Linked DNA regions of Ovis aries. The protein of the gene in region 7 purifies or fractionates together with the protein of the main gene of each other region. This does not show direct contact. Links are inferred from orthologs where the notes say so. Each region holds a gene or a part of one and is shown on either strand. Other genes may lie near its edges.

Region 1 (4,489 bases), on a different chromosome or scaffold from region 7:
CCCTCAGTCTTGTCGCCCCCACTTCCTCACCTCCCATCTGATCCCCATTCCTATCAAGGGCTCTTGCCAAAGTCAAGAAAGACAGCCTATGGCCTGCTATTGTGGTTATCTGGCCGTGAGACCAGTGACCACCCCGTCACAAGAGCCTCACCTCCTGGGCCCTATCCTCACCTGTCTCTCTTGCCCACCATTCCACCCAAGTCTCCCTCCTGGCTCTTGTTTCACCCCCTGACCTATATTGTGAGTGTCCCCCAAATTCTGTCCTCTTTTCAGACTCACACTGTCCTCAGTAGGCACTGACAGCGCATCCTCCACTTCCCCAGCACCTCTAGGCCACACCATCCTGCCCACACCAATGCCCCCCGTCACTCTCATGTGGCCACAGAGCTGTAAGAGCCCACGGTCCCGGGGCACTTTCATCTCTAACCACCCTCCTCATGGACGGCCAACCGTGCCTCCAGTCATCCAGGGCAGAAACGTGGGTCTCTTCTCCTTTCCTCAACCTCCACATTCAGTGATAAGGAACACTTCTCAAGCACAGAGTAGGTTCTACATCCTTCTCTGAGCACCTGAAGCAGATTACATCTATAAGCCTTACAGGCCCGCGACGCTAAGCATTCTCACTACTGTCATTCTACAGATGACAAGCTAAGAAACGGAGACCCCTCCCTGAGGAAGCCCACGTGGCAGAACCAGGATCCCAGCGCATCAGTTCAGAGGGAGAGCTTGCACATCAGCCCTTCCGTGCCGTCAGCGTGCCGGCGCCCTCTGCCCCAGGCCCCAGCCACAGTGTAGGCCAGGCCCTCAACGTTTTTCAAATAACATGACCAATCTTTCCTCCGAGCAATTCTCCACATCACTGTCTACCTCCATTTCTGCAACACAAACACGTCAGTCTCCAGCTTACATCCGCTCTTCTCCCAAAAGCCTGCTAGGAAGAGTTCAAATCGCCAGTAATACAGCTCTTAAGTACCACTTTCCCAACTCCATGCTTTAACCTTCTTTACCCTTGACCAGAAGCACTGTCTGACTCAGACCTCGGTACCTCTGCACTTAGGTGGCTTTACCTGGCTTATTTTTCCACGAATACCGGGAAAATGCCAGGGTTACAGAGGTACTTGCAGTGGTCAACAGATAGGATATGCTCAATAAATAAATTTGCTGAATGAATAAAGAATGGTATTTGCCTGCCCCATCACCTACCTGGTGAACTGACTCATCCTTCTAAACACAACTTAGCTTACATCCCATGGGCCTCGCCTACCTTAAACTCTCCTCTAGCCCATAAAAGCGACGTGGATTAGAATTGCTGCCTCCACTGTTTAAAATAGCCAAGATGTGGAAGGGCTTCCCTGGGAGCTCAGCTGGTAAGGAATCCGCCTGCAATGCAGGAGACCCCAGTTTGACTCCTGGGTCAAGAAGATCCCCTGGAGAAAGGATAGGCTACCCACTCCAGTATTCCTGGGCTTCCCTGGTGGCTCAGACAGTAAAGAATCCACCTGCAATGCAAAAGACCTGGGTTCGGCCCCTGGAGGAGGGCATGGCAACCCACTTCAGTATTGCGTGGAGAATCCCCATGGACAAAGAAGCCTGGCGGACTACAGTGCATGGGGTTGCAAAGAGTCAGACACAACTGAGCAACTAAGCACAGCACACAGCACAGGACATGGAAGCAAGCCAAATATCCATCGACAGATGAATGGATAAAGATGTGGTACGTATATGTGATGGAATATTATTCAGCCACTAAAAAGAATGAAATGATGCCATTTGCAGCAACATGGACGGACTCAGAGAGTGTCATGCTGAGTGAAATAAGTCAGACAAAGAAGGGGAAATACCGTATGGCCTCTCTTATATGTGGAATCCAAAATGAAATGACACAAATGGACTTACAAAACAACAGGAGACTAACAGACTTCGAAAACAAATGTATGGTTACCGGGGGGGAGGAATAGTTGGGGAGTTTGGGAAGGTCATGTACACGTTGCTATATTCCAAATGGATAACCAACAAGGACTTACTGTCTGTCACAAGGAACCCTACTCAAAGTTATGTGGTAGCCTGCATGGGTGTGGGATGTGGGGGAGGACAACTGCGTGGATATGCATGGCTGAGTCCTTTGCTTTTCAGCTGAAACTACCACAACACTGATAATCAGCTATATTCCGATACAAAATAAAAAGTTTAACGTTTAAAAAAGAAAGAATTCCTGCCTCATTCCTAATACCCTGCAATTATCACCCAATTATTGACCCCGTCCCTCTTCCTTAGCTGAATCTTTTTAAGGGCTGTCTGAAACAGTATCATTTGTGGTGACTGAGACGATATTTACTAGTATTCTCTCATATCTGTCTCCCCACTAGTCCCTGAGCTCCCTAAATAAAGCACGAATTGTGCTTCACTCATTTGGCTAATATCGTAGCCTGGCACGGTGCCGGGCTTACGGTAAGCAGAAAACAAACGCTGAGAGTTAACATTCAAAGATGTACCCTGCAGGCTGGGTAATTAGGGACTCCAGAGCAAAGGCTGGGGGGCCGGTGAGCCCAATTAACCACACGAGACCGGAGGATGCGCTAGAACAGGGCTTCTCAAACGTTAATGAATCACCGTGGGATCTTATTAAAAACGCAAATTCTGATTTTAGAAGATCTGGGGTGGGAAATCAGCATTTCTAATCAACTCCCATTTGCTGCTGGTCCGCGGACCTCAGTTTGAGATCCACGGCACTAATAAGGCTTCTTCCGCTACCCGAAGGCAGGCGGGAAGCGCGCTGCCTCCTGGGACTTGGAGTCCCCCCAAATCCTCCTAAACGGCAGCTCCTTCCTGCACGAGTTAGGAGCGCCCGCGCGGGAGGCGAGGGCCCAGGCCTGCTCAAGCGGCCGGTGGAGGTGCAGAACTCGCCGTACCTGTTTGGGCTCGGTGGCCGCGGGCGGCGGCGGGGGCACCGCCTGCACGGGTCCGGCCGGCATGACTGCGACGCTCAGGGCTGCCAGTCCGCCTCGGTGTAGGTGAGCGGTGCGGCGTCAAAGCGCCTTACCGCACCAACAGTACGACAAGCTCTCAAGATGGCGGCGGCCGACCGAGTTGTCGCCGAGGGGGCGAGGCTGACGCACGTCCGGGCCCGCCCCTTCTCCGTGACATCACTTCCTGCCCTTCCCACGAGCGAGACGCCGTTGCCATGGCAGCGGCAGGGCAGCAGGGCTAGGTTTTGCACCGGATCCCCGGAGCTGCAGGAGCGCCTGGGGGCAGTTCCAAGAACCCGCCAGACACAGGGGCTGAGGCTGCGACGCCGGAGACTGGTGAGACTTTTTACATCTTCCGCCCCGACGCCCGGATCCCCCTCTCCTTTACTCTGCCAGGCCATTTCCCCTCTCCCTCCGACCCCCGCCTTCTAAATCCCGGGTTCTCTCCCACTGGGCTCCCACTTTGGCCAGATCTCCGCCTGCCTGTTCTTCCAAGCCCTTCTATACTTCAGGTCCACATCCTCCAGACCCCTTCCCAAGTCTCGATCCCTAATTCCCACTGGTCCCGTTTCCCGCGGCCCTGTCTTTTCCAGTTCCACCCCCGCCTGCCGTAGTCCCGCCCTCCAACCGGGTGGACCCACTCAGATCTAGGTTTCTTCTTTAGGCTCCACCCCTCACGTCCGCAGGTTGGTCCCGGCGGGCCTCTTCCCCGCCCCCTGGCACACCACGATCCCCCTCTTTTCGCTTCTCCTCCTGGGGGCTTCTCTTCCCTTTCCCCTCTCCCCTCCCTCCTAACTCCAGAATGTGTCTGGCTCTGAAGCCTTGCCTGGACTTCAGTTTCTTCACCGATGAAATGGGGGTGTGGCGGGGGGAGTGATAGGAAAAGATGCCCTCCCAAGTCTCCTCCCGTGTCTCTTTCTCACACCATAGCTGATTGATGTTAGTGTTACTATTAACGTTGAATTATAGCGATAGTTAGGATTTGTTGAACATGTACCATGAGCCAGACTCTGTGCCAAACACTACATGCATTCCATCATTTGTTTCCCAGAGCAACTCATTTACAGATCTTCAGTTTACATGGTGGAGTGGGAATCCAAACCCAGGCCTTTCTTACTGTTCTACTGGTGCGCTTACTTGGTTACTTGCTTTGTCTTCACTGGATTCCTTCAGTATCCCCCCGGGGTATCCAGGCAGTTAGCAATCCTGAGTCAGAGACTGACGCTGCTATATAGATGGGTTTAGAGTTTCCAAAGCATTTCCATGGGTGCACTGGTCAGGATATGTGAAATCGCTCAGTCGTGTCTGACTCTTTGCAACCCCACGGACTGTAGCATACCAGGCTCCTCCGTCCATGGGATTTTCCAGGCAAGAGTACTGGAGTGGGTTGCCATTTCCTTCTCCAGGGGGTCTTCCTGACCCAGGGATCGAACCCAGGTCTCCCTCATTGGAAGCAGATGTCTGAGCCACCAGGGAAGCCCACTGGTCAGGAGGTAGGCATAATCTTTACCTGAAGGGTAGGG
Region 2 (3,348 bases), on a different chromosome or scaffold from region 7:
TAGAAACTGACACCAAGTTAGGAAAATCAATGAACATTTATCGGATCATGATTACAAGTACAATCTTAACATCTATATTTACATATCTGAGGTTGGCACTGGCAGCTGAGACTCAAAATTGCCACTTAAAATTCAGAATGAAAATCTGCTAAGTCTTTTTAGAAAGCATTCCCTTTCTTTATACTGTCATAGGTGACATCCACTTACTGTTAATATTGCAGTAAGTAAACACTACTTTGTCATTATGAAGGAAAAAACTGATCAGACAGAGATCATAATGTAGTTTTCTGGAAAACTACACACACTTTCACTATACACAGTATATAATAAACAAGGTACACTCTGTACTGCAGTAACATGCAATGGTTTGGTTGTAGAAATGTTAATGTAATTTCTGCTACATCAGAATTCTGTGAAGTTGGGAGTCATAAGGATGAAAAGAGCAATTGTTTAATGGTTACACAGTAGATACATCTGACGCATAACATACAGTTACCACTAGGTATCAGCATGGAATTTACAAACAAAAATTTAAAAAAAAAAAAAAAAAAGAAGAAGACTGACCTATATAAACCTAAGTGTAAGGATGGACTTTATTTTTTTAAAAAAAGTCTTTTGAGGACTACAAATTACAAAGTAAAAGCAGATCACTATGTAGAAACCTAGTGAATACATTTTGCCTGTGCATGAAAGCTTTATCAAAAGTCATTCATTTAACAATTTCACCCCCTTCACAACGGTATCAATTATAATGCTCTTCTTCATAAGGTTATACCTTTATTTCAAACTATATTACATGTTATTCCCTTAAGATAAACTTCTAAACACAAATTCTTGGCTCATAAGAATGGCACCTTTGAAAAAGGCAATTTCCACTCAAGTCTCTCGTGGCATTATTCCAAGCTTGTTTCTTTCACCAGTCAAAAAACTTTCAAAGTGTTTACTTTCAACATGAAATCTTTCCAGCAAAAAGCGTGGCCACACTTTGTTTTCTAATGACTACATATGAAGACAGGTAGCAGCAAGAAAAGATGGAAATTAAAAAGGCAGCCATTAAAATAAATGGATCAACTGTATAGAAGAGATATTTGGCTCATGGCAATTTAAGAAACTGGCAACTAGGTTAACAGCCAGATAGCTGAGTCATAAATGAACCTGTGAAGAGAATGAAGCTGGTCCACTATGACCAAGTAGCAACACATCATTATCACCGCACTTCTCTCTCTACAACAAATACGCTAAGCCAACAGGCAATACGGAGTTATATTTGGAGTCCCAATTAGAACATGCTGATCTTTTTTCTTTCAACAATTTTCTGGGTTTAGTACAGTCATTTGCTTTACTCGCACTATTTCTGGTCCTCTCTCACGAATCTAAGTGCAGGATAAGTGTAAAATACTTTAAATGGCAAGGCTTTTTCCAAGGTATGTTTGAAAATGGCTTTGTGAAAAGAATATTCATTTGTTTTGTGTGGAAAGAAACAAACTGAATGCAGAAGTTTTTCAATGGGAAAAAGCTTAATTTTTTTCTTCCTATTACCTCTGCCACATACAATTTCCCAAATACCCTACTTTCAAGTTTGTTCTCCATGGCTTCATTTTAGGGAATGAAAATCAGAGAGCAGACAATTGAGCTCAAGTACATCTGGGGCTAAAAATGCCAAGAAAATGTTAACATGGAAGCAATGGTCCAAATACTCAAGATTCATGTTAATGAATTCAATTACTGTATATGATAGTTTTCATTGATGAGCAGGGCTTTGGGCATATCAAATTATCACACAAATCATTGCCTTCTGAGACACTGGATACTTTTACAGTTTAATTTGCAAACAGAATTTTTATAACAAATTATTTTTAACCAAATCATATCTTGAAAACTGTTTATATAGAAAACCCAGGGAATAAAGTGAACTGTTCATTGTGGAAGGCCTTAAATTACATTATTACAGTAGAAAATACAGGAGGTAGAAGATAACTGAAAAGACTAATGCAACATCAGATTCAAATCTATAGCTCCTGTAGCTACCTAAAACATGGTTTTAGAAACTAAATCCAACATTTCCAGTAACCATAGAAACAGTTAAAATAAAATTTGCCATGAAAGCCCTTATATCATGCTTGATATAGGGAGGTAGGAAGATGTAAGAACCAGGACACATGAGACATGACATTTTATCTACAACTCCTGTTTGCTTTACTGAGGGTGTAGTTTCAAAATTCAGTCACCTTCTTCAGCTTCAGACTCAGATTCTAGAAAAGGGGAAAAGTGCAATCAAGCATTACATAATATCAGAAAATAAAAGTTCCATTTATAACTTTACTTAAAATTTTTTATTAATAATGATCTACTCATATGAGGAGGATATCTAAAAGTATGCATCTGTAAATCTCAAAATTCATAAATATTTGGACTTCCCTGGTGGCTCAGATGATAAACCTGCAATGCAGGAGACCCAGGTTCAGTCCCAGGGTTGGGAAGATCCCCCGGAGGGCATGGCAACCCAACTCCAGTATTCTTGCCTGGAGAATTCCATGCACAGAGGAGTCTGGGAAGCTATAGCCCAGGGGGTTCCAGAGTCGGACATGAGTGATTGACTAATGCACACATTCTCAAAATTTTCAATTTTCCTAAGAACTTTAGTATTATGGCCAAGTCATCAAAATGCTTGAAGTCTAGTTTTTCTCCCCTGCCTTAAAGTAAATGAGTTTTTGGAGGTGTGTCATGAATAAACAAAAATCTGTACTTTAGGTACAAAATGGTATCTGAATGAAGGATGACATGTATGGACATATTCTTGTCCACATTAAAATAAGTTCTCAGGCTTTACCAAACAGATTGCACAAATGAAAAGACTTACCCTCTTCAGCATTTTTGAGCCACTCTACAAACTTTTTCATTTGCTCAAGGAAGACACTCTTCCCCTTGGCAACGTGTGCATCTTTATACCATTTTAGAATGGGTTCTTCACTCAGAACTTCAGCTGTAAAGAAGAGAGCACCCTTTACATCTGTGGAGTATTCATACAGTACTTCCGTAACTGAGGCAGAGTCAGAAACTCCCTAAGGTGCACATGCCTTCAGAGCATTTTTGTTTTGACTGAAATGTGGAGTAAAATCAATTATTTTTGTTGCTTATAAAATAAATCTGTGTTCAACACTCAGCTAGTTTCTTCAACAAATTAATTTTTAAAAGAAAAGTAGAAAAGATGAAATGAGAACCATGCACTAATAAACTTTATCAACTTGAAGAGTGATTCTCTCAACTGAAGGCAACCTGATCCCCTAGGGACACCAGACAATGTTTGCAGACGTTGCTGGTTGTTGCGCTGGGGAGATGTGCTACTGG
Region 3 (4,707 bases), on a different chromosome or scaffold from region 7:
AGCATTATTTGTGAAATGAGAAAATAAAGGCTTACTTCTCTTACAAGTCTCTGAGCTTCTCATTTTGTGCGTTTGAAGGTTATATAGTGCTGTATGCTAGAAACCAAAGGCATGGTCAAATCAGCTTGATTTGAAATTGACATTTGGGTGTTCTCTTTGAAAGTGACACATTGCTCTCCTAGCATCCTATACTTTGTCTCTACCCAGTGTTAACTGTATGTTTGTTAAACTGAAATTTGTCTCCATGACCATCAGGCCACAAGCCTGGGTCACTCTGAGATAATTTAAGTAGGCTTGGTGTCATACTGAGATAAGATGTGTGCTGCCGGGGGTGTTTCAGACTGGGTGGTGGTCCAATTTAGTGGCCACTATTTAAAGAGAAAATGTCCTGTAGGTGTGAATCATACATATCATTTATTCTGTACTGACTGGATCATGAGGTAAGTGCTGGTTGTATCCAGGTCTCAAGTCCAAAGGAGCTTTCCCAGGTGGCTCAGCAGTAAAGAATCTGCCTGCAACGCAGGAGACTCGGTTTGAATCCCTGGGTCTGGGAGATACCTTGGGAGGAGGAAGTGAAGTGAAGTCGCTCAGTCGTGTCCGACTCTTTGCACGACCCCATGGACTGTAGCACCCCAGGCTCCTCCGTCCATGGGATTCTCCAGGCAAGAATACTGGAGTGGGTTGCCATTTCCTTCTCCAGGGGATCTTCCCTACCCAGGGATTGAACCCAGGTCTCCCACATTGCAGGCAGATGCTTTAACCTCTGAGCCACCAGGGAAGCCTCATGACAACCCATTCCTGTATTGCCTGGAAAATCCATGGACAGGAGCCTGACCTGCTACAAGTCCATCTACCTGCAAAGAGTTGCTTAGCCACTGAGCATGCGCGCACTCAGAAGTTTGAAAGCCATTGCTAACATCAGAGACAGGACTGATCTGTGCAGACCATATTAAAGTAGGTAGAGTTGTCAGGTTTGCATACAGAATAAAATTTAAACTAGCCCCAGCCTCCTACCCTGTGGCCTTGGTCTAAGGAGTTGCCCTTGGGCAGTTTCCTCCCTCCGCTCTAGAATCTTCTAACATTGCTGCTGGGGTACAAACAACGGTATAAGACACTTCGCTGCCTGCCTGTTACTGAGTTCAGCCCCTGTCATCAAGGAAACCCCTCTGGCAAACAAGTAGGCCACACTTATGTAAAACGGTCTTCACACAGGAGAGGCCCACGTTGGGGTACCCGGGCCGGACCTGCCTGCGCACACGTGGGTCGGAGCTGTAGGGACCCTCATCTTCCATGAGGCTGGGCTGAGAAGGGCCCTGAGACCCGGGGGTCGAAAAGCACGCCCTTGGCAGGCCTTGATAGTCCCCGGTATCCCTCAGATAACACACTCCGGCTGCCTGAGTCAAATCCCGGCCTGCGGTGACCGCCGTCCCGCCCGGGGGCGCCAGGCCCCGGGCCCGGGCGGGCTCCAAGCGGGATCCCGGCCTCGCCCTGCCGCGTGGGCTCGCGCTGTGACCCGGAAGCGCTCCGGAAGCGGTTCCGGAGTCAGCTCCGGCAGGATGGCGGCGGACACGCAGGTAAGGCGGGCGACTGCGAGGCCAACGCGGTCAGCAACTAGGCGCGAACGGCGGCGGTCTGGTCTGACCGCTAGTGCAGCTGCCGTAGGGGGTTAGGGGGCGGCGGCTGCGGAGGGCGCGGTCCCGGGGGCGCTTCGGGCGAACTCCCCACGGACCCGGCTTCGTCCTGGTTCCCGGCCCGGGCGGCGCAGACCGGCCGTGGGCTCGACGAGTCGGACTCCGGCCTCGGCTTCGGCAGACCCTTCTTGATCCTGAAGTTGCCACAGTTCCCGTTTCAGAGTCTGCTCCGTTTCTCCGAAACCCTCCACGATGAACCTCGGCCAGCGCCAACTATGCCTTAAAACTTTATATTCAGCAGATATTTCTCGGACATTTACTACGCTCGGGGACTTAAAGCACAGTGTTTGGATTTGTACAGATCTGAGTTTGAGTGCTAGCTGATCAGTTTCTCTAAGACGCTGGGCAAGCTGCTTAATCCTGTCAAGTCGCGGTCTTTGCATCCATACAATGGGGCTAAACTAATACCTGCCTCGTAGGGTCGTTGTGAGGAATCGATGAAATAAAGTAGGGCCCCATGTAAGTTGGTGGTTATTATTAGGTCCAGCGTTAGATAAAAGAGCTGTCACAACTTGGGAAGAGTCTTGTCACCTTGAGTGTTGGAGGGGGGACTTTCCCCCTCCACCCCAGCCTCCTTTGTGGCTGTGAGTGTTTTAGAGAGAAAAGACAATATTACGAAAAAAAAAAAAAGACAGTATTACGGGAAATGAAACAGGTCTCAAAAGGACAGCTTGGCTCACTTGGGTGTCGGGATGAGGAGATTTATTTATTTTGATATGAAGGCCCTGAAGTCAGAGAGTGAGCCCTTAACTTCATTATTCAGAATGTGTGTGTTGTGAGTTTCCTGTGCAAGGAAGGTTCTGGTAATTTGTTCAAAGTTTGTTATGATGGATCCTGGAAAGAAAGGGGTATTTTGAAAGGGGTTGGGAGAATACATGCTGAATGTGTAACATTAAAACTCAAATGAAGAAAGCAAACACTTCTTGGGACTTACCTGGTACTCCAGTAGTTAAAGACGCCTGCCAGTGCAGGGGACACCGGTTCAGCCCCTGGCCCAGGATCTAAGATCCCACATACTACTGGGGAACTGAGCCTGGGCGCCCCTTGTGCCACAGCTAAGACCTGACACAGCCAAATAAATAAATATTAAAAAAAAAAAATCTCTCTAGTGCTGTGTTGTTCAGTATAGTAACCAGTTAATTAACAGCCAACTAGCTACTTAGGTTAGTTAAAATTAAATGAAATTTAAAATTCAGTTCTTCGGTTGCTCTAGCCACATTTCAGTGCCTGGGTAGCTGTATGTGGCTGGTGACTGATGCATTGTACAGTGTAAAAGAACATTTCCATCATCACAGAAAGTGCTTCTGGACAGTGTTACCCTAGAGAGAAACCTGTGAACTTTTTAAGCTCTTTGCATCTGATCTAAACCAACAGATTACTTCTCTGAAGGATCTTAGTGTGCTCTTCCTCACTTTTGTTCTGACAGGGTCCCTAGTGGGTGACATTCATTTTCTGATTAAGAAAAAGAAGAGCCTTGTACCTGAAATGCCCTTTCATCTTTCCAGGAGAAACTGTAGTCAGGAACTTAACATTAGCATGGAAAAACAGCTATGTGGGAATTTCGGGTACAGGGTGTATTATATATATAAAGATGCATCTAAATTTGCTATCTCCTCCAGCCTTACTGAAACTAGTAAAAGGTTGAGGGAAAAAATAAGAATTGAGAGAATGGGGAGCAGACAACAGCTGCAAACTTTTGGAAGCTAGAAAGTGAGGAGTGGTAAAGGATCCTAAGCCAGCAGTTCGGAAAGCTGAGAACCAACCTGATTTACATTGTAGAATTTCTGATAGCTGGGAATTGTTGGCATCTGCTAACCCCTGGGTGTGAGGGTGAGTGGGGAGGGGCTAAGTTAGGAGGATTGGTTGAAAGCCCTGTTCACGTGCCTTCAGAACCCCAGCTTTCTTTCTCCATCTTGGCAAAAGGCTGGAAGTTTTCCTTTCTGGAGAGTGTAAAACAGGACCACACAAAAGTGTAGGAGGTCCAATGTCCACGGAAATCATCAACGGAATAATTCAAGATGCTTTCCCTGAACCGAAGCATGCCTTTTCAAATCAAAAATGGTCAGCACAGTGGATGAAAGCAGACGCACGACAGAGCACACTAACGTGAAATCCAATTTTTCTGTTAAAAATAAATTTTCTTCTTTATTTTTGTATTTATTTACGGCTGCATTGGGTCTTATTTGCGGCACGTGGGATCTTTTCGTTGAGGTGCGTGGGCTCAGTTGCCTGCGATGGAAGGCGGATTCTTAACCTCTGGACCTCCGGGAAAGTCCCAACCTGAAATTTTGGAACCTTGGATATAAAAAGATCTTAGAAACTCCTGGGGGGGGGGGGATATCAGATCTCAGACAAAAGATCGAGAATCAGAATGGCATGGAGGTTCCCAACAATACTGAATGCTAGAACTCAGTGGAGAAAAGTCTTCAGTATTCTGAAGGAAAATTTCAATCTAGCATTCTCTATTCAGACAAACTTCAGGTAGGAGGTCAGAACATTTTCAAACCCGCAAGGACGTCACAAGTTAGAGTGTGCAGTTCACCCAGACACACAAAAAGAGTACATTCTCAGGGTGATAAACCGCATCCCAGCTGTAGCAGTCACACACCAAATCCACTGGGAGAGGCCTCTTCAGGAAGGTGGAATTTGGTCAGACTGCATGATCTGCGTCAATGTATTGAGATTTAGACACGGGGCAGACTGTGGGATTGAATGGTTAATTAGGACAGATAAAACGAGGCAGGCTGAGAATGGAGAGAGTGAAGGGCTCATGATTCAACTCCAGGATTAATTTTAAAAAGCTGTGCAAGAGAGCAGACAGAGTTCATTAAACGGAAGTTGAAAACTAGTTGCATCTAATGTAAACACTGAATTATTGGACTAACGTATATTACGAAACTTGAGGAATAATTACCGAATAATCAGCCAGTGTTGGTGAAAGAGATTGTGCTTGTGTGTGAGGGCATGGGACTGGTTTTTAGAGCAAACCTCCCAGAACTTTTTGACTCTTTAATTA
Region 4 (4,696 bases), on a different chromosome or scaffold from region 7:
GGGGCAGGAGGAGAAGGGGACGACAGAGGATGAGATGGCTGGATGGCATCACTGACTCAATGGACATGCATGAGTCTGAGTGAACTCCAGGAGTTGGTGATGGACAGGGAGGCCTGGCGTCCTGCGATTCATGGGGTCGCAAAGAGTCAGACACAACTGAGCGACTGAACTGAAGTCATGTAGATGTAAGACAGAAATCAAACCAATATTATAAACCAATCATCAACCAACTAAAAATAGATAAGTATTTAAAAAATAAAAAGGCAATAGATAAAATATGTCAATGAAGGATGATTTAAAGGACAAAAAAGTACACATACAAAATTTTGTCAACTATCACAGAGATTTTAAGAACTACCAAAGCTCCTCCATGGATCTGGAGCAAAGTAAATCTGTATTTTGGGATTACTGAGAAACATTTACTAGAATATATTCAATCAACTTATAGAACTGAAAGCATGTCATCTTTTTTCTTTTTAATTTCAAAGGCACCTAGATTTCTCCACCTAGTTTTAATAACGTTTTATAGTATCTTTATAAAACTGCCTTACAGCCCTGAGGAGAGGGACTATTACAAATACATACATAAACTGAAGAAAATCATCCTTACCCTTAGGGTGCAGAGCTAGCTGTTTTAGCATATTTATGACTGCAGGTTTGTTGTTTTAATTTGAATTCATCACTAATAATGTAAAGTTCCAGCATTTCATATAAAAAACCAGATTTCAAATAGATATCTCTATAGGAAAAAATGTAGAAGTTCTAATCTCCCTGGACCTGACTAGCAGATCAGTCTTGAGCAGCAACTGTGGTCTCCAGCGGCCACAGCAGTTCTCACAAGTTCATTGGGCTCATTTATATTACTTGAGAGGCCTGCTAATGAGTTCAAAACAAGGAACTTCAGGATTCTGCATACACACACGCAGGCGCGTGTGTTTTTTCTCGTTCTTTGAAAAAGGATGGAGAAGTAACAGGCACCATTCATTCTGCAGCCTTCAATGCACCTTTCCGCTGCGTTGGGCCTAGTAATAGGCGATGAAAAAAGAGAGAGATCTGGGTCCCGGTTGGTACCACCAACGATTGGTCAGAGCAGGAATCGCCGCCACTAACAAACACAAGCAGTGTTGAATGTAGTTATTAAATATATACAAAGCTTGGTGCTGAACCGAAGGTAGAACGGTACTTGATGTAGAATCTAAGGAATCTAAGCTCGGCTCCCCTATATTACACAGTCGTCTAGGCAGCGCACAGGTTCACAGGAGACGAGGCGGAAACACAGTGATGGCTTGCCTCTGCACAGAATCACAGACAACGCCGACTCCCGGACTGGGCGCAGTCTCCTAAGACGCGCCCGTTTCCGGAGCAACCGCCCAGTCCCTCCCCCATTGACTCCGCCCCCGGGGGCGTCTTTCCCGCCCAAGGCCGTTAACCCCGCAGAGCATTGTGGGATAAAGCTATAGGCTAGGTTTCACTAAATCCTTCCAAAGCGCCTTTGCTTTAAGAGACTTATTCCTGGGGAAACTGATTATTCTTTAGGACTCGACAAGATTAATAACCCTCTTTTACAAGGGCTCTGCCCTAAATCTTTACCACAGGGCCGGTCACTTCCTTTGCAAAGCTCTCGGCACCACGGGAACGCGGGAACTTTTTTCCCTTCGCGCGGAGGGTGACGTCGCGCGTGCGCCAGCGTCCCTTTCGCTGCACACCCGTTACGCTCTTGCGCGTGCGCAGTGAGATCGAATAGCTGCTTCCTCCCGCTTCTCTTCTTCCCTCCCCCCCATATCCGTGCGCCGAGCTGATAAAGGCGCCATTTTGGAGGGGCCGCGGGAGACGTGGTGTCGCGGCGGGCTCGCTCTGCCGTTCGCTAGGCTTGGTGGGAAGGCCTGTTCTCGAGTCCGCGCTTTTCGTCGCCGCCATGTCGGGAGGTGGTGTGATTCGTGGCCCGGCAGGGAACAACGACTGCCGCATCTACGTAGGGAACTTACCTCCAGACATCCGAACCAAGGACATTGAGGACGTGTTCTACAAATACGGTGCTATCCGCGACATCGACCTGAAGAATCGCCGCGGAGGACCGCCCTTCGCCTTCGTTGAGTTCGAGGACCCGCGGTGAGGCGGCCAGGGACTTGCGGCCTTGAGGATATAGGTTGGAGTAGTTGGGGAGTGCTCCAAGGCCTTAGAGAGAATGGGGACGTGGGCTCTGAGGTTGGGAGCAAGACGAGTCGGCCGCGCACGAGTGAAGTGAGGAGCCGAGTCGGTGAGGCTTCCCTGGTGACTGGGTCCCCCGGGCGTCTCCGGAGCCGGCTCGCGGGCTCGGAGCGGGAAACTGAGGCGCTGAGGGCTGCTGTAGTGGTCGGGAGCCTGGCGTGCTTCTGGGTGGGGGAGGGGCCGTCCCTATTATGCGGCGCATGTGGGCTCTTCCACCCCGGGTGCGCATGTGCGGGGCGCTGCTGGCTCCCCGACGGAGGTGGCCACCCCTCCCGGCCCTTTTTCTTACCCTTCGGCTTTCTGTAATCACGCAGGGATGCGGAAGACGCGGTGTACGGTCGCGACGGCTATGATTACGATGGATATCGTCTGCGGGTGGAGTTTCCTCGAAGTGGCCGTGGTACAGGCCGAGGCGGCGGCGGGGGTGGAGGTGGCGGGGCTCCCCGGGGCCGCTATGGCCCCCCATCCAGGCGTTCTGAAAACAGAGTGGTTGTCTCTGGTAAGTTGACCGTTCCGCGCGGGTCGATGTCACTTTTGGACAGATCCTACACTTTAAAGTTTTCCTTGCATGCGTAGTTTGACAAATGCTAGCTTTCATGGTAGGTCTTTAAATTATTTCAGTCGCATGGATGAATTTAGTAACCAGGAATTACTGTATTTGAGATTTAACGAATTAGATTGCAGTGTCTAGAATATGAAGATCATTACTTTGTAAATAATTTGGGGCTTTTAATTCTAGAATTTTGAATCATTAACCTAGGATGTTAAAACTAATCATTAATTTTAAAGTAGTCTTGGTTCTAATGTAAATTTTAACTTTAATGTGAAATACTAGGATAATTGTTGAAAAAAACTCTTTTTCAGGACTGCCTCCAAGTGGAAGCTGGCAGGATTTAAAGGATCACATGCGTGAAGCAGGTGATGTATGTTATGCTGATGTTTACCGAGATGGCACTGGTGTCGTGGAGTTTGTACGGAAAGAAGATATGACCTATGCAGTTCGAAAACTGGATAACACTAAGTTTAGATCTCATGAGGTAGGTTATACACTTATTCTTTTTATTGGCCAGAATTGGATACAGTGGTCTTAACTGTGGAATTTGAAGGTAAGATTCAGGCAAGGGTGTCCAAGTAAACCCAGTAAAGTGCCTCTGGTTTAAATTACGTTGTATTCATTCAGCATGCCTGAAGACAGGTGAAAACTTAGATCTTTCAATCGAAAGTTCTGTCTATTCAATAGGGAGAAACTGCCTACATCCGGGTTAAAGTTGATGGGCCCAGAAGTCCAAGTTATGGAAGATCTCGATCTCGAAGCCGTAGTCGTAGCAGAAGCCGTAGCAGAAGCAACAGCAGGAGTCGAAGTTATTCCCCAAGGAGAAGCAGAGGATCACCACGCTATTCTCCCCGTCATAGCAGATCTCGCTCTCGTACATAAGATGATTGGTGACACTTTTTTGTAGAACCCATGTTGTATACAGTTTTCCTTTATTCAGTACAATCTTTTCATTTTTTAATTCAAACTGTTTTGTTCAGAATGGGCTAAAGTGTTGAATTGCATTCTTGTGTAATACCCCTTGCTCCTAACATCTACATTCCCCTCATGTCGATAAATTGTATTTTAAGTGATGTCATAGCCAGGATTGTTTAAATTTAGTTAACTCTCCATGCTCTTCAGACTGTGATATTGTGTAAATGTCTATTCTGCTCTGGTTTGTGTGAACTGGGATGTTGGGGGTGTTTGTGGTTATCTTACCTGGGGAAGTTCTTATGTTTATCTTGCTTTTCATGTGTCTTTCTGTAGACATATCTGAAGAGATGGATTAAGAATGCTTTGGATTAAGGATTGTGGAGCACATTTCAATCATTTTAGGATTGTCAAAAGGAGGATTGAGGAGGATCAGATCAATAATGGAGGCAATGGTATGACTCCAAGTGCTATTGTCACAGATGAAATTGGCAGTATTGACCTTATACTAAAGGCAAGGGTTTAAATTGATTATGTATACATCTACCATAAAACACTTGTAAGCATCTTAATGCAGTTACCTTTAGCTACAATTGCTTTGCTCTTTAAACCTTGGCAATTGTGGCAAAATTACATTGCCCATTTTGTAACTATTTTGCTCCCTTCCCTTTTTTATTTTAATAGGGACTAATGTGGGAAGAACTGGCTAATTTGTCATAATGCTTAGTTACAACTGTTAATGTGTGACCTGCTGTTGGTGTACATGTGGGTACAGGGTGTCTTTAATTCCAACCAGATAGAGTATAATATCAATACTGCTAAATCTGCATGTCCTCTGTGTGACTGATATAGCGTTGCTACTTCATTTTTTAAAGACAAAATGAAAGCAAAATATAGAATTCCAACATATTGGTGTAGATAATCTAGTTGGGAATAATTTTAAGTCTCACCTTCCCCTTTAAACTAGTATTCATAATTGACTCATGTTTAAAATACTTTTAATTTACAAATTAAATTACAAAT
Region 5 (3,470 bases), on a different chromosome or scaffold from region 7:
GCTGGGAAACTTTCTATAAGGGACTGCTGCTGCTACTGCTAAGGAGCTTCAGTCGTGTCTGATTCTGTGCAACCCCGTAGACGGCAGCCCCCCAGGCTACCCTGTCCCTGGGATTCTCCAGGCAAGAACACTGGAGTGGGTTGCCGTTTCCTTCTCCAGTGCATGAAACTGAAAAGTGAAAGTGAAGTCGCTCAGTCGTGTCCAACTCTTCACGACCCCATGGACGGCAGCCCACCAGGCTCCTCTGTCCATGGGATTTTCCAGGCAAGAGACTAGATAATAACTGTATTAGGCTTGCAGACCACATAGCCTCTGTCGCAACTTTTCAACTCAGCTGATTGTAGGATAAGCAGCCATAGGAAACATAAATAAATGAATGAGACTGTTCCAGTAAAATTTATTTACGAAACAGGATGGTTGGATTTGAGTAAACCACAGGCTGTCCATTCCTATATACCTATGGTCATGAAACAGTGTACCTGGTACTTGAGTATGGAAAGAGTTGGCACCTTTTTTCCCCAGTGCTATGTGTGGCAGTCAACCAGTAACTCTAAAAGAAATAATAGGAAATTGTTCTTGGTTAATAATAACTTGTCACAAGTCCTAGAGATGCTAGTTTACATTGTTACTGAGTCAAAAGATTATTTATAATCTGCTATATTAACCCTTCTTTAGAAATTGAGATAAATTGCTTTGCCTCATGTGTCTTTTTGATGTTTAAACATGTTCTTAAATGATTAGAATGTTTACTGATATACTCTAAGCAGTTATGTAATTTTGTATGTAATTCGAGAAAGAAAATATGTTTAAATAAACATGCAACTCAAGAATTTCAAAGTCAGAAAGAGACTAATGAATAACAAACATGAAATATTTATAATAAAAGTGCCAAATTATTTCAGTAGGACTTTTTTGGTATATTTTTAAAAACAAAAACAATGCTATCTTGATGCTTATCCCATCTCCCTCTAAAAATCCTGACAGTCTTTTAAAATATGAGTTATAATAATAAGATTGACACCAGAGTTAATATAAGTAAATGAATCTTTTACTTATGAATCTTCCATATTGTTGACAGGAACAAGAACAAAAAGCTGAAGAAGAAAGGATTCGTATGGAAAACATTCTGAGTGGAAACCCTCTTCTTAATCTCACTGGCCCATCCCAGCCTCAGGCCAACTTCAAAGTTAAAAGAAGGTATTGTACAGTAAATAAGTTGGAGATTATATATATATGTATACAGTACAGATTATATATAAAATATAAGTTGTATGTGTAGTTTTTTGGTTGTATTAAACTATATGGTGGTTCTTCCTTGTTTGGTACAGACAGAAATGTTTGGAGGTTGAAACATCTCTTAATATGCAGATCACGTTTGACCTAGCTCTGCTCAGCTTTTCACATTTCTCTGCACTGCACCAGTGATGACTTAAAACACTTTTCAAAGATGCCCATGTTCTTTGCTGATTTTCCACATGCAGTTTCCTCTGACATGCATACATCCACACTCACACACATTGTATAGCCTTTCATTTGATATATATTTATGAGAACTCATATATTGCACATATGAGTTTGTGTTGTATATGCTAGATGATATTTTGAAATAGTAGTCTTTATTTTCTCTAAAACATGTATTTAAGCCCATCCTGGGCTGCCTGTTGTTTTTTTTTTTTCTTCTTTAAGTTTATACATTATGAAAGCCAACCAAGAGAATCTTAACTAGAGTTCTGCCCTAAGCTCTTCAGCTGCTCTTGCCTTGTGGTTAATGTAGATGTGGGCCAACATATGAGCCTTAATTATTATACCCTAATAATTCCTTCTTTTGTCCTACCGTGTTAAATGGTTACAGAGTATATATAAAATCCTTAAAACTCATAATCTAATTATAGTGACTTGCCCAGTTATCCTTGAGACCTAATACTAATCAGGGTAGTACCAAGTGCTGCCGCTTTGTTTTAGACCTGAAAACATTGAATATTTATGCAACTTCTGCTTTTTTAACTCAAAGTTTTTTATACTGGAAGAATAACAGGAATGTTGTGTGTATTCTAAAATAGCGATTACTCTTCCTGTTAAAAAAGCAAGCCAACTGCCTCTTAAAAATTACTTGTTCTTTTGGGTATAATCGCAGCATCAAGTGATGTGCATGTTGAGCATGAGGAAGCTTTGTCGTTCACATTGATACAGGTATTGTAAGATTGTTCTATTTTTTTTCTTTCAGGTGGGATGATGACGTTGTCTTCAAGAACTGTGCAAAAGGTGTAGATGATCAGAAGAAAGACAAAAGATTTGTAAATGATACGCTTCGATCTGAATTTCACAAAAAGTTCATGGAGAAATACATTAAATAGTACAGTTTTATGTGCTGAATTGAAGGCTATAAAATGTAAACGATCTGACTTCATTTTGATTTTTCTCTCCCACCCCTATCTAAATTGTGTATAGGCTTCCCTAATTTTTAGTTCCAAAGTATCTTTTCCTTTATTGATTAATTACTTGATAAGGACTTGGGAATTGGTTTAACCCAGTTTCCATCTCAATATTTCCAGTCATGTGTTTTCTCTTAAATATAGGAAAAGAAACCTTGTAATAAATATTTTTAATAAATAGCCAAATCTGTGTCCCCAACTTGTTTGTTGAAATGTATGCAGCTAGTAAAACATTGCATATTTTCTTCTGTGTGTTGGATTTCTTTGTAAACTTTTTCTCCTCATATCTCAAGTCAGTTAATTCATCACATCTCCTCCATCTTTTGAAAAGTGTGATGAAAGATTAAAGGGATTCCATTTTGGACCACTGTTGGTACAGAGGAGTGTTGTCAAGCAGAAAGCACCCTGAGTGCGTGTGTGAGGGAGCGTGGGGTACCTCTCACTTTGGCATTGCCCCTTTCTTTTCTCTCAGCCCAGACAATAAAGAGGTTCTTAAGTGTGCCCAGGAAGCGTGTGGCATTCACCTGTGTCCTGGATACTCAGCTGCCATGTTTCGCTTGAGTGAGAGAGAGTGCTCACTGACACTCACTAGATGCAAAGCCTGGGGGAGTTTAACATCAAACAATATATGAAATAAAACCTTTGGAAATATGAGGATATGGATACAGGAAGTGGAAGTGTTTACACAACTGGGAAATGAAGTTTCCCTAAACCTTGGCTAGGATTTTTAAGGTTATCATTTTGATAGAAAATGTAAGACTGGGAATTGAATCTTTTACAGATAGAGACCCATTCATAGGATTCCTCCATTGTAAATGATGTTGAGCTTGGTAGGGTTAAAGGTAAAACCTTTAAAGCAAAAATAACTTGTTCTTTATCACTGGCATTTATTTAAACTCCCTTCTCTAGGATCCTCAGCAGGAGCTTGGACACAGGTTAACCTGAGTCCACAAAGTGAAAGTGAAGTCGCTCAGTTGTGTCCAACTCTGTGACCCCATGGACTGTAGCCTATCAGACTCCTCTGTCCATGGGATTTTT
Region 6 (4,558 bases), on a different chromosome or scaffold from region 7:
CTGTCCTTTCTGGGTTTGGCATCTCCTCTGGGAGTGTCAGGAGACTGGGATGATGGTAGTGATGAAAAGGGGGAGGGTTTAGGTTTGGGCAGGAGCAAAGAGAATTTCCTGCCAGGGTTAGGTTGCAAGCAACCTTCCTGGCCCAGTCCTTTGTCTATCCTAAACCTCACCTTCCCTGGACCTGACCTCCCATTCTTTTTTCCCTCCTCCCAGGTACTGCTCTGTTGGGGGTGATTCGTGAAATAGAGCATGCTAGAGAGAAGATCTGAGGGATGCGGGTGTGGAGGGAGGGGAGAGGGAATAGAGACCATTTTGAGTTGCCCCGCTCTCTCATCCAACACACATACATGCACACTGGCTGCGACCTGGCTGTCTGTGAGACAGCAGCACTAGAATGGGAACGGGATCTCAGAGCTGGAGGCAGAGGTGGGAAGATGAACTGAACTGACTGATCAGGACAGGGAGAAGCAGAAGGGGGCAAGCAAGGGCCACCTGCCCATCCCTCCCTCAGGGGCACAGGCCGCTGGTGGGGTAGGAGAGCACCAGACAGGGTCTGCTGCGCCAGTAAGCTGGTGGGGATGAGGGAAGAAAAGGTCCTGAGTTTATTTTCTTTCTTTTTCGGCCTTGCGGTGCGGCTTGTGGGATCTTAGTTACCTGACCGCGGATGGAACCCGGGTTTCCCCAGGGAAAGCACTGAGTTCGACCCACTGGACCACCAGGGAATTCCCCTGCGTTTATTTTCAAGACTAAAAAAGGATCCAAATCTTGTCGCTTAAGACTGCTTTTTTTTTTTTTTTTTCCCCCTTTCAGTAATAATTCATTGAGCACTTCTAACGCCAGGTACTGTGAGACCGTAAAAACTCATGTCTTGGGAGTTGTAAGTGCAGAAAAGGGCAAGAAAGATTTCAAAACAAATGGTAGAGGTTTGGCCGCTCCAGAGCAGGAAAGGCGGGAGACAGTTTAACGTAGATGACATTTGAGACGGCCAGGAAGGTGGAAAAAGGGGCTTTAGTGTGGCCCTTCCCCCAGGTCGGCAGCTGGATCTCAGCCCGGAGGGCCGGCTTCGTTCCCGTCTCCGATCTCCTTTCAGCCCATTCATCCATGCCTGGGCCGGGGATGGGCGGGCAGACAATCAGACACTGTTTTATCACAGGCATCGGCGGCAAACTCCCGCTTGGCGCCCACAGCGCGCGACCGCCGGGGGAACGAGTCCCTGGAGAACGTGAGCGTCCAGGCCTCTCAAGTCCAACCAGGGAGTAGCGCCGCAAGGCGGGAGGTCTGCGCTGAGGCCAGTGAGATGCAGAAAGCACGCCCTTCGGGCAGGACCTGCTTTCCCCACAGCCCCGCCCCGGCTCTGGCCTCCAGAGTTCCCCGCGTCGCGGCCGGCCGCGATCCTCCCGGATTTGAATCCGCAGAGATCGTGACCTGTGCACTACAACTCCCAGAAGGCTTCGCGACCAGGCGGCCTAAGGAGCATTGGAGAACGGTAGGGGGTGGGCCCTGATGGGAACTGCCTGGCAACCCTCGAGCGGACGTGGCGTATCGCCCTACCGGAAGTTCCGGGAAGTGGGTCCGGAGGCTGGTCCGAGCTTCCGGGTTGGTCGCGCGCCTTCCTGCGGCTAAGATGGCGGCCGAGCATCCGGAGCCTCCTAAGGGAGAGTTGCAGCTGCCGCCGCCGCCGCCTCCTGGACACTATGGTGCCTGGGCTGCCCAGGAGCTTCAGGCCAAATTAGCAGAGATCGGAGCTCCCATCCAGGGTGAGGAGCATGGGAAGTCAAGGGCAGGAAAGTGCAGGCCTGCGGGGAAGCGGAGCTGGTTACCCCGGAGACCCGGGGGCGGGGGTTAGAGGCTGGCCGCGGTGGCCTGACTTGGGCAGGCTGGCCTGCTCGACCTGACCTACCCCGTTGATCCTGTGCTTTGCTTAGCAGGGAGTCGCGAGGAGCTTGTGGAGCGATTGCAGGCTTACACTCGCCAAGTAAGTGTTGGTGGCGGGACATGAGGATAGGCCGAGCGTTTGCAGGAGGCATTAATGACCCGTTACAACTCGGTCTTCGTTGTTTACGAATCTCGGTACAGCAAGTGGGGTCTTGGCTGCTTCGTATCTGCTGTGTTATAATTGCTTTTGTATATATCGTTTCTTCCCAGAGCCCATTCCGAGCTCTGGCAGACAGTCACTGGGTAAATTTTGTTGAATAGACGAGAGCGAACGCTGTTTCATGCACCAGCTCCTTTTAGACTGCCCTAGATTCTTTTCACTTTCACAGACTGGCATCGTCCTGAATCGTCCCGTTCTGAGAGGTGAAGATGGGGACAAAGCTGCTCCTCCTCCTATGTCAGCACAGGTAAGAAGACTGTCTCACTTGATAAGATTCTTTTCTACTCAGAGTAGCTCCTCCTCTGAGCGTACAGGGGGATACACGTAGCCCACTGGGCAGGGAGGTACACTGATGAAAGAACTGGGAACTCTTCAGTTCTTCCTTCGTCCAGATTCTTACTTCCTTTCTCAGTGTCAGTTCCTCCAAATTTCATGTGTCATTTAAGATTCAGCTTAAATATCTGGAAACCTGACATAATCCTTCCCCAGCTGGAAGTAATCACTCTCTTCTCTGCCCTCCCTGTGCAGAGTTCCCATGTTATTCAATGAGAAATTAGGGCTTACTCTCTGATTTAATTTCATACCTTCTATATTTAATCAGTCATTGGGGCACACTGGGTCTTATTTATTTAAATACTCTCAATTTCCATGTCTTTTCTGATCCAGGATTTGATAGTTTTTCTGTAGAGCAGTGGCCCTGACTTGGGGTCCAGGGACTTCTATGTGTGGCATAAGAAGGTTTTTATTTTTTGAGGGGTTGAGGAGTTTTTCAGAAGGCCTTTAGAGGTGTCCGTGAGTCTCCTGAAATTGTATGTGAAGTCTGTGTTCATGATGTTCTTCTGGGACAGAGTTGACAGCTTTCATCAGTTGGTGGCACAAAGTTAAAATGCTCTTCTTTCGATACTGCCGTAGAGTATTCTTTCTTTTTTCCTTTATGTCTTTGGCTGCTCTGGGTCTTCATTGCTGTGTGCAGGCCCTTTCCAGTTGAAGCGAGCACAGGACTACTGTCTAGTTGTGTTGTGCGGCCATCCCATCGCAGTGGCCTCTGGTTGCGGAGCACGGGCTCCAGGGTATACGGGTTTCAGCAGCTGCAGCACACGCGGCACATGGGCTTAGTTGCCCCGCAGCACGTGGAATCTTCCTAGAGCAGGGCTCGAACCCATGTGCCTTGCGTTGAGCGGATTCTTAAACATTGGACCTTCAGGGAAGCCCTGCATTTTCTTGAATGCAAGAATTGTGCATCATTTGACTTTGAATCCCAGTGCCAGCCTTATATTAGTTCCCCAGCAAATGCCTGCCATTACATAAATGCTTCATAGTTAATGGCCTTTTTTTCCCCCCACAGCTCTCGGGGATTCCCATGCCGCCCCCACCCATGGGTCTCCCTCCTCTACAACCCCCTCCACCACCCCCACCACCCCCACCTGGCCTTGGCCTTGGCTTTCCTATGGCAGTTGGACCCCGCCCGCCAAACTTGGGGCCTCCTCCTCCTCTCCGGGTGGGTGAGCCCGTGGCGCTGTCTGAGGAAGAGCGGCTGAAGCTGGCGCAGCAGCAGGCGGCATTGCTGATGCAGCAGGAGGAGCGTGCCAAGCAGGTAGGGCAGGTGGCAGCCTGAGCCTGGGTCTCACCAGGGTCCTGAAAAGGGAGTAGGGCCTCCAGGGGAGCCGGATCCTGGGGCCAAGGCTTCTGGGAAGGTCTGGACCCAAGTCTTCAGGGCCTCGGCTGGAAGAGCAGACCAGGAAGCAGAGCTGTGGTAGACTGGCCGGTGGGGTGTGGGTACTGGAATGAGCTCGTTTTCTTTCTTAAGCAGGGAGATCATTCACTGAAGGAACATGAGCTTTTGGAGCAGCAGAAGCGGGTAATGCCTCCCTCTTCCTAACCTTTGACCTCCATGGTCTAATCCATCGTCTGTCACTTCTAGTGCTTACTGTCTAAAATTAGCCGTGCCATTCAGGTTTCCCATGGAGATTACCTCATCCTCATCTAAATTCCATTATCTCCCAAATAATTCTTTCTTTCACATAGCCAAGGAATTGGTAATCTGTGGACTATAGCCTGTTTTTGTATGGCCTGTGATGTAAGGATGGTTTTTATATATTTGAAGGGTTGTTTCGGGGAGATGGGGGAAAGGAATTTACAACAGTCTACAAACAACCCAGAAAGCCTAAAATATTTACTGACTGGCCCATTACAGAAGAAATTTCCTGACCCCTACTGGGCTTTCCCAATGGCTCAGTGGGTAAAGAGTCTGCCTGCAGGAGACAGGAGATGTGGGTTTAATCCCTGGGTTGGGAAGATCCCCTGGAGAAGGAAATGGCAACCCACTCCAGTATTCTTGCTTGAAAAATCCCATGGACCAGAGGAGCCTGGCAGGCTATAGCCCATGGAGACATGACTGAGCAACTAAGCACTCAGGCATGCACGATCCCTACTAGTCTTACGTGATATCATTTTAGGTACACT
Region 7 (3,987 bases):
TTGGAATTTTGCCTGTAACCTTTTCTTTTTTTTCCAGTTCTTAGGACATTTGTTGGTAAAATTACAAAAATAACACCTTTTGATTTTCTTAGGGATTTTTGTGGCTCAATGGACTCTGTGATATTTTAATTCATTTTTAGTATGCGCCCCCCCCAATTGATAAATGGTTTTGTACAAATAATTTATAATCTTGATTTATTAATATATTGTTTTGAGAGAATTTCAGTATGGAAATAGAAGAATACAGTTTGATATTGTATCATGTATGGAATTTCCCCCCTACTTTATATAGGAACACTTTAAAAAACTAGTAATATTATGGAAATTTTCAAACCCACAAAGTAAAGAGTATACAGTGAACCTCTGTGTACTCAGCAGTTCATCTTTCTAGAATATGGACGTTTTAAGCTGTGTTATTCTCTGGTTAAATATTGCTACTATGATAACTGTTATCTTCAGATTTCAGACGCAGAACTCCAAGAAGTTGTAAAAGTAGGCCAAGCAAGTGAAATTGCACGTCAGACTGCTGAGGAATCTGGCATAACAAACTCTGCTTCCAGTACTCTCTTGTCTGAGTACAATGTCACCAACAACAGCATTGCTCTGAGAACACCACGAACGCCAGCTTCCCAGGACAGAATTCTGCAGGTAGGCTGCCATATGGTAGAATGAGCCTTTCACTTTGCTTCCTGTCCTTAAAAGTAGTATAAAGGTGAAGACTAAATGGTTTGGTTTTGTGTCTCTTAGCATAAGCAGTTTGAAACAGTCCTGAATGCATAGCTGCTAGAGATTTCCATGGTAGGGAAGCTAAATCTTGTCAGTAAAGCACAGCATTTAAAAATTACACATTGCCTAGCAGTCCTGGAAAAAAAAATACGTGTGTAGTTAGTAATTTTATTAATTTGGCTGTGCTTGGGTCCTAGTTGCAGCCCACAGGAGCTTTCATTGCAGCACACCGATTCTCTAGTTGTGTCTCATGGGTTCTGCAGTTGGGGTGAGCGGGCTTGCTTGCTCTCTGGCACATGGGATCCTAGTTCCCCCAACCAGGGATTAAACCTGTGTACTCTGCATTGCAAGGTGGATTCTTACCCACTGTGCCGCCAGGAGAGTTCCCTGTATTCAGTAATTTTTTTTTTTTACAGTGATTTTCAAAACTTCCTTGTGATTCTGTACTTAGCATGGCATAGACGGCCTTCAGTGCTATTTCCCTCTCGCTCCTTAACATATAGGGTGTACAGCTCTGTGTGTTCCTAGGGTGTTACCATGCTAGGTAATAGACAGACCTAACTTTCACTTTTCACTTTCATGCATTGGAGAAGGAAATGGCAACCCGCTCCGGTGTTCTTGCCTGGAGAATCCTGGGGATGGGGGAGCCTGGTGGGCTGCCATCTCTGGTGTCGCACAGAGTTGGACACGACTGCAGTGACTTAGCAGCAGCAACAGCAACAGAATACTATTGAATCTTTCAGCACTCCTTACATCTCAGTTTTCTAAGAGTCAAATATAATCTTACGGTTTTGATTTAGGAGTCAAACAGTCCTATATAAGACTATGTAAAAAAAATAGTGCCCCTCATTGTCTGCTTTCTAGAGTTATCAGTGACAGCTCTTTGTTTTCACCACTGTAATGGTAAGACACTTGTTTCATGTTGGTTTTATTTTCAGTTTAAAGCATTTTTTTTCCATGTAGAAATTGAGCATTTGGCTCTCTCATACCCTCTGCCTCTACTGTGCATCCACTCTTTCCATTTTCCCATCTTCCATTGTAGTTAATCATAATTTTGGTTAGCTCTATATTTATGGTTTACCTTATGGCTATGTGGGGCTTCCCTGGTGGCTCATATGGTAAAGAATCTTCCTGCAATGCAGGAGACTCAGATTCCATACCTGGGCCAGGAAGATCCCCTGGAGGAGGGCATAGCAACCCACTCCAGGATTTTTGCCTGGAGAATCCCATGGACAGAGAAGTCTGGCAGGCTACAGTCCATGGGGTTGCAGAGTCAGATATGACTGAGCAACTTTGACACTCACTTGTGACTATGTAAACTGCATTCACTGCTGACCTGGAAAGTACCTTATAATTATTCTGCTGCATAGTATTTTGTTTTTCTTTGGATTAATACTTGTTTTACTTAGTTGCTAACATTTTTGATGGCTTGGCACAAATTCATTTCTGGATCTGGACTTTATTAACTGTCAGTCTCCTGTAATCTGGTAAAATTTTAGGTATTCTTATCTTTTTCAGCGCTTGAAGTCTTTCCCAGAATTTCTGAATGTTCTAGCCTGGACTGATTGCTCCTTAGATCTTGTTTATGGCTCATTCTCTTGCTCCCCCTTCACTGTCACCCTGGAAAGTTTTCCCTTGGGTCTCCTCTTTCCTGGCTCCCATGTCTCTCGCTTTCTTGGTTGGCTCCCTTTTAGTGAGGCATATCTGTCGGTAGCTTTCTGAGGAAGGTTTCGTGGGAGATACAGTTTTTAAGTCTTGAATATCTGTAAATTACTGTTTTACTCTCTTAATTTGATTGATCGTACAACTGGGTATAGAATTCCAGATTCAAAGGATTTTTGTTCATAGCTTTGAAGTCAGTGTTCCAGGGTCTTCTGACTTGTGCTGTTAAGGTTAATAGGAAACCTGGTTTTTTCCTTCCTTTGGAAGCTTATATGACCTCTTTTTCACATGCATATTTCTTGATGTGGGTTTATTTTTAACCACTGTACTAGGTACTTGATGAGTCTTTTCATTCTGTAGACTCATGACCTTCAACTCTGGGAAGTTATTCTGAAAATGAGAAAAATTTCCTCCCCTTCATTGCTTTATTTCACTATTCCTCTCTGATTTTCTGTCTTGACTTTTTTGATTCATTGCTAGGAGATTTTCTGAATTTTACTTTCATACAGTTTTTAAATTTCTACTGTCGTATTTTAAATTTCTGAACTCTCTCTTTTTTAATTAGACTTGTGTGCATGCTCAGTCTCTTCAGTTGTGTCTGACTCTTTGCAACCCCATGGACTGTAGCCCACCAGGCTCCTCTGTCCATGGAATTTACCAGGCAGGAGTACTGGAGTGGGTTGCCATTTCCTTCTCCAGGGAATCTTCTCAACCCAGGGATAGAACCCATGTCTCCTGCATTGCAGGCAGTTTCTCTACTGTCTGAGGCACCAAGGAAGCACGTGTGTGTGTGTAATTTTTTTTTAAGATGCAATTGATCCTTTTATAACATACAGTTCAGTGGTTGGAGTGTCAAAGTTGGATTGTAAGAAGAGCATGTGAGATGAGAATTATGGTTGTGACTCTGTGGAAAATGTAGCTTGCCACAGACCCTGAAAAAATGTAGCTTGCCACAGACCCTGAATTGGGGATTAGGAGTTGTGGGTGCTGTGTTAGTAATGAGTGCAGGGTTATAGTAGGGGGACTGTAAAGAGAACATGTCAGTCCAACCTGAAGAGGTCAAGCAAGACTTCAGAAAGTAATCTGTCTTAAGTTTTCTAATGTAGTAGATAGACCAGTTGGTAATATTTTAACCTCACAATGGAAGAAACTGAGACTCAGAGAGTCTAATGAAAATTGGATAAAGCATTCATGATAAAGCCAGACTGGGTGTTCTAATGTTTAGCCCAAGCTCATGTTGGGAAAGTGGAATTCTTAGTTCTTCATGTAAAGAGGCTTGGCATGGGTGATAGGAGAAGTTCTTGGGTAATGGTAATTTCATATGTGAGGCCGCAATCACACATACATTTCTTGACATGTAAAACTATTCCAAAACTTCTGACATTTTAATGTCAGAAAGAATGGAAGCATTGAATTCCTCCATGGTTCAATATTCATTTTCTCTCGGTTTTCATTGAGAAAATATGTAAGAATTCTGCCTTCTTTTTGTGTAGTAGGACTATAAGAGAGGGGTTTGCTGTCCTGTCTAAATTGTTGAAACATGCTTGTTTACTGTCTTGTTAATCAGGAAGCCCAAAACCTCATGGCTCTGACCAACGT

The links.
Region 1: the proteins of CDC5L (region 7) and SF3A1 purify together in Homo sapiens (affinity purification with mass spectrometry; 3 studies listed by BioGRID and IntAct, with this or other methods). This does not show direct contact. The link is inferred for Ovis aries from reciprocal best matches to the Homo sapiens genes CDC5L and SF3A1.
Region 2: the proteins of CDC5L (region 7) and BZW1 purify together in Homo sapiens (affinity purification with mass spectrometry; 3 studies listed by BioGRID and IntAct, with this or other methods). This does not show direct contact. The link is inferred for Ovis aries from reciprocal best matches to the Homo sapiens genes CDC5L and BZW1.
Region 3: the proteins of CDC5L (region 7) and GCN1 purify together in Homo sapiens (affinity purification with mass spectrometry; 3 studies listed by BioGRID and IntAct, with this or other methods). This does not show direct contact. The link is inferred for Ovis aries from reciprocal best matches to the Homo sapiens genes CDC5L and GCN1.
Region 4: the proteins of CDC5L (region 7) and SRSF1 purify together in Homo sapiens (affinity purification with mass spectrometry; 4 studies listed by BioGRID and IntAct, with this or other methods). This does not show direct contact. The link is inferred for Ovis aries from reciprocal best matches to the Homo sapiens genes CDC5L and SRSF1.
Region 5: the proteins of CDC5L (region 7) and CWC15 purify together in Homo sapiens (affinity purification with mass spectrometry; 4 studies listed by BioGRID and IntAct, with this or other methods). This does not show direct contact. The link is inferred for Ovis aries from reciprocal best matches to the Homo sapiens genes CDC5L and CWC15.
Region 6: the proteins of CDC5L (region 7) and SF3B2 purify together in Homo sapiens (affinity purification with mass spectrometry; 3 studies listed by BioGRID and IntAct, with this or other methods). This does not show direct contact. The link is inferred for Ovis aries from reciprocal best matches to the Homo sapiens genes CDC5L and SF3B2.

What each region holds. Positions count from the first base shown.
Region 1 is NC_056070.1:69,363,389-69,367,877, forward strand, and holds the start of SF3A1 (splicing factor 3A subunit 1), read right to left. Parts: upstream 3,066-4,489; 5' UTR 2,973-3,065; coding exon 2,910-2,972; intron 1-2,909. UniProt on the Homo sapiens protein: Component of the 17S U2 SnRNP complex of the spliceosome, a large ribonucleoprotein complex that removes introns from transcribed pre-mRNAs.
Region 2 is NC_056055.1:203,226,222-203,229,569, reverse strand, and holds part of BZW1 (eIF5-mimic protein 2), read right to left. Parts: intron 2,984-3,348; coding exon 2,820-2,983; 3' UTR 2,253-2,819; coding exon of another isoform or gene 2,221-2,252; 3' UTR 1-2,220. UniProt on the Homo sapiens protein: Translation initiation regulator which represses repeat-associated non-AUG (RAN) initiated translation probably by acting as a competitive inhibitor of eukaryotic translation initiation factor 5 (EIF5) function.
Region 3 is NC_056070.1:62,691,307-62,696,013, reverse strand, and holds the start of GCN1 (stalled ribosome sensor GCN1), read left to right. Parts: upstream 1-1,538; 5' UTR 1,539-1,556; coding exon 1,557-1,574; intron 1,575-4,707. UniProt on the Homo sapiens protein: Ribosome collision sensor that plays a key role in the RNF14-RNF25 translation quality control pathway, a pathway that takes place when a ribosome has stalled during translation, and which promotes ubiquitination and degradation of translation factors on stalled ribosomes.
Region 4 is NC_056064.1:8,495,156-8,499,851, reverse strand, and holds the start of SRSF1 (serine/arginine-rich splicing factor 1), read left to right. Parts: upstream 1-1,806; 5' UTR 1,807-1,915; coding exon 1,916-2,109; intron 2,110-2,522; coding exon 2,523-2,707; intron 2,708-3,072; coding exon 3,073-3,245; intron 3,246-3,448; coding exon 3,449-3,643; 3' UTR 3,644-4,696. UniProt on the Homo sapiens protein: Plays a role in preventing exon skipping, ensuring the accuracy of splicing and regulating alternative splicing.
Region 5 is NC_056068.1:15,099,515-15,102,984, forward strand, and holds the end of CWC15 (spliceosome-associated protein CWC15 homolog), read left to right. Parts: intron 1-1,078; coding exon 1,079-1,197; intron 1,198-2,224; coding exon 2,225-2,354; 3' UTR 2,355-2,677; downstream 2,678-3,470. UniProt on the Homo sapiens protein: Involved in pre-mRNA splicing as component of the spliceosome. Component of the PRP19-CDC5L complex that forms an integral part of the spliceosome and is required for activating pre-mRNA splicing.
Region 6 is NC_056074.1:40,571,557-40,576,114, forward strand, and holds the start of SF3B2 (splicing factor 3B subunit 2), read left to right. Parts: upstream 1-1,599; 5' UTR 1,600-1,624; coding exon 1,625-1,757; intron 1,758-1,925; coding exon 1,926-1,975; intron 1,976-2,264; coding exon 2,265-2,342; intron 2,343-3,440; coding exon 3,441-3,689; intron 3,690-3,902; coding exon 3,903-3,953; intron 3,954-4,558. UniProt on the Homo sapiens protein: Component of the 17S U2 SnRNP complex of the spliceosome, a large ribonucleoprotein complex that removes introns from transcribed pre-mRNAs.
Region 7 is NC_056073.1:17,861,397-17,865,383, forward strand, and holds part of CDC5L (cell division cycle 5-like protein), read left to right. Parts: intron 1-459; coding exon 460-648; intron 649-3,955; coding exon 3,956-3,987.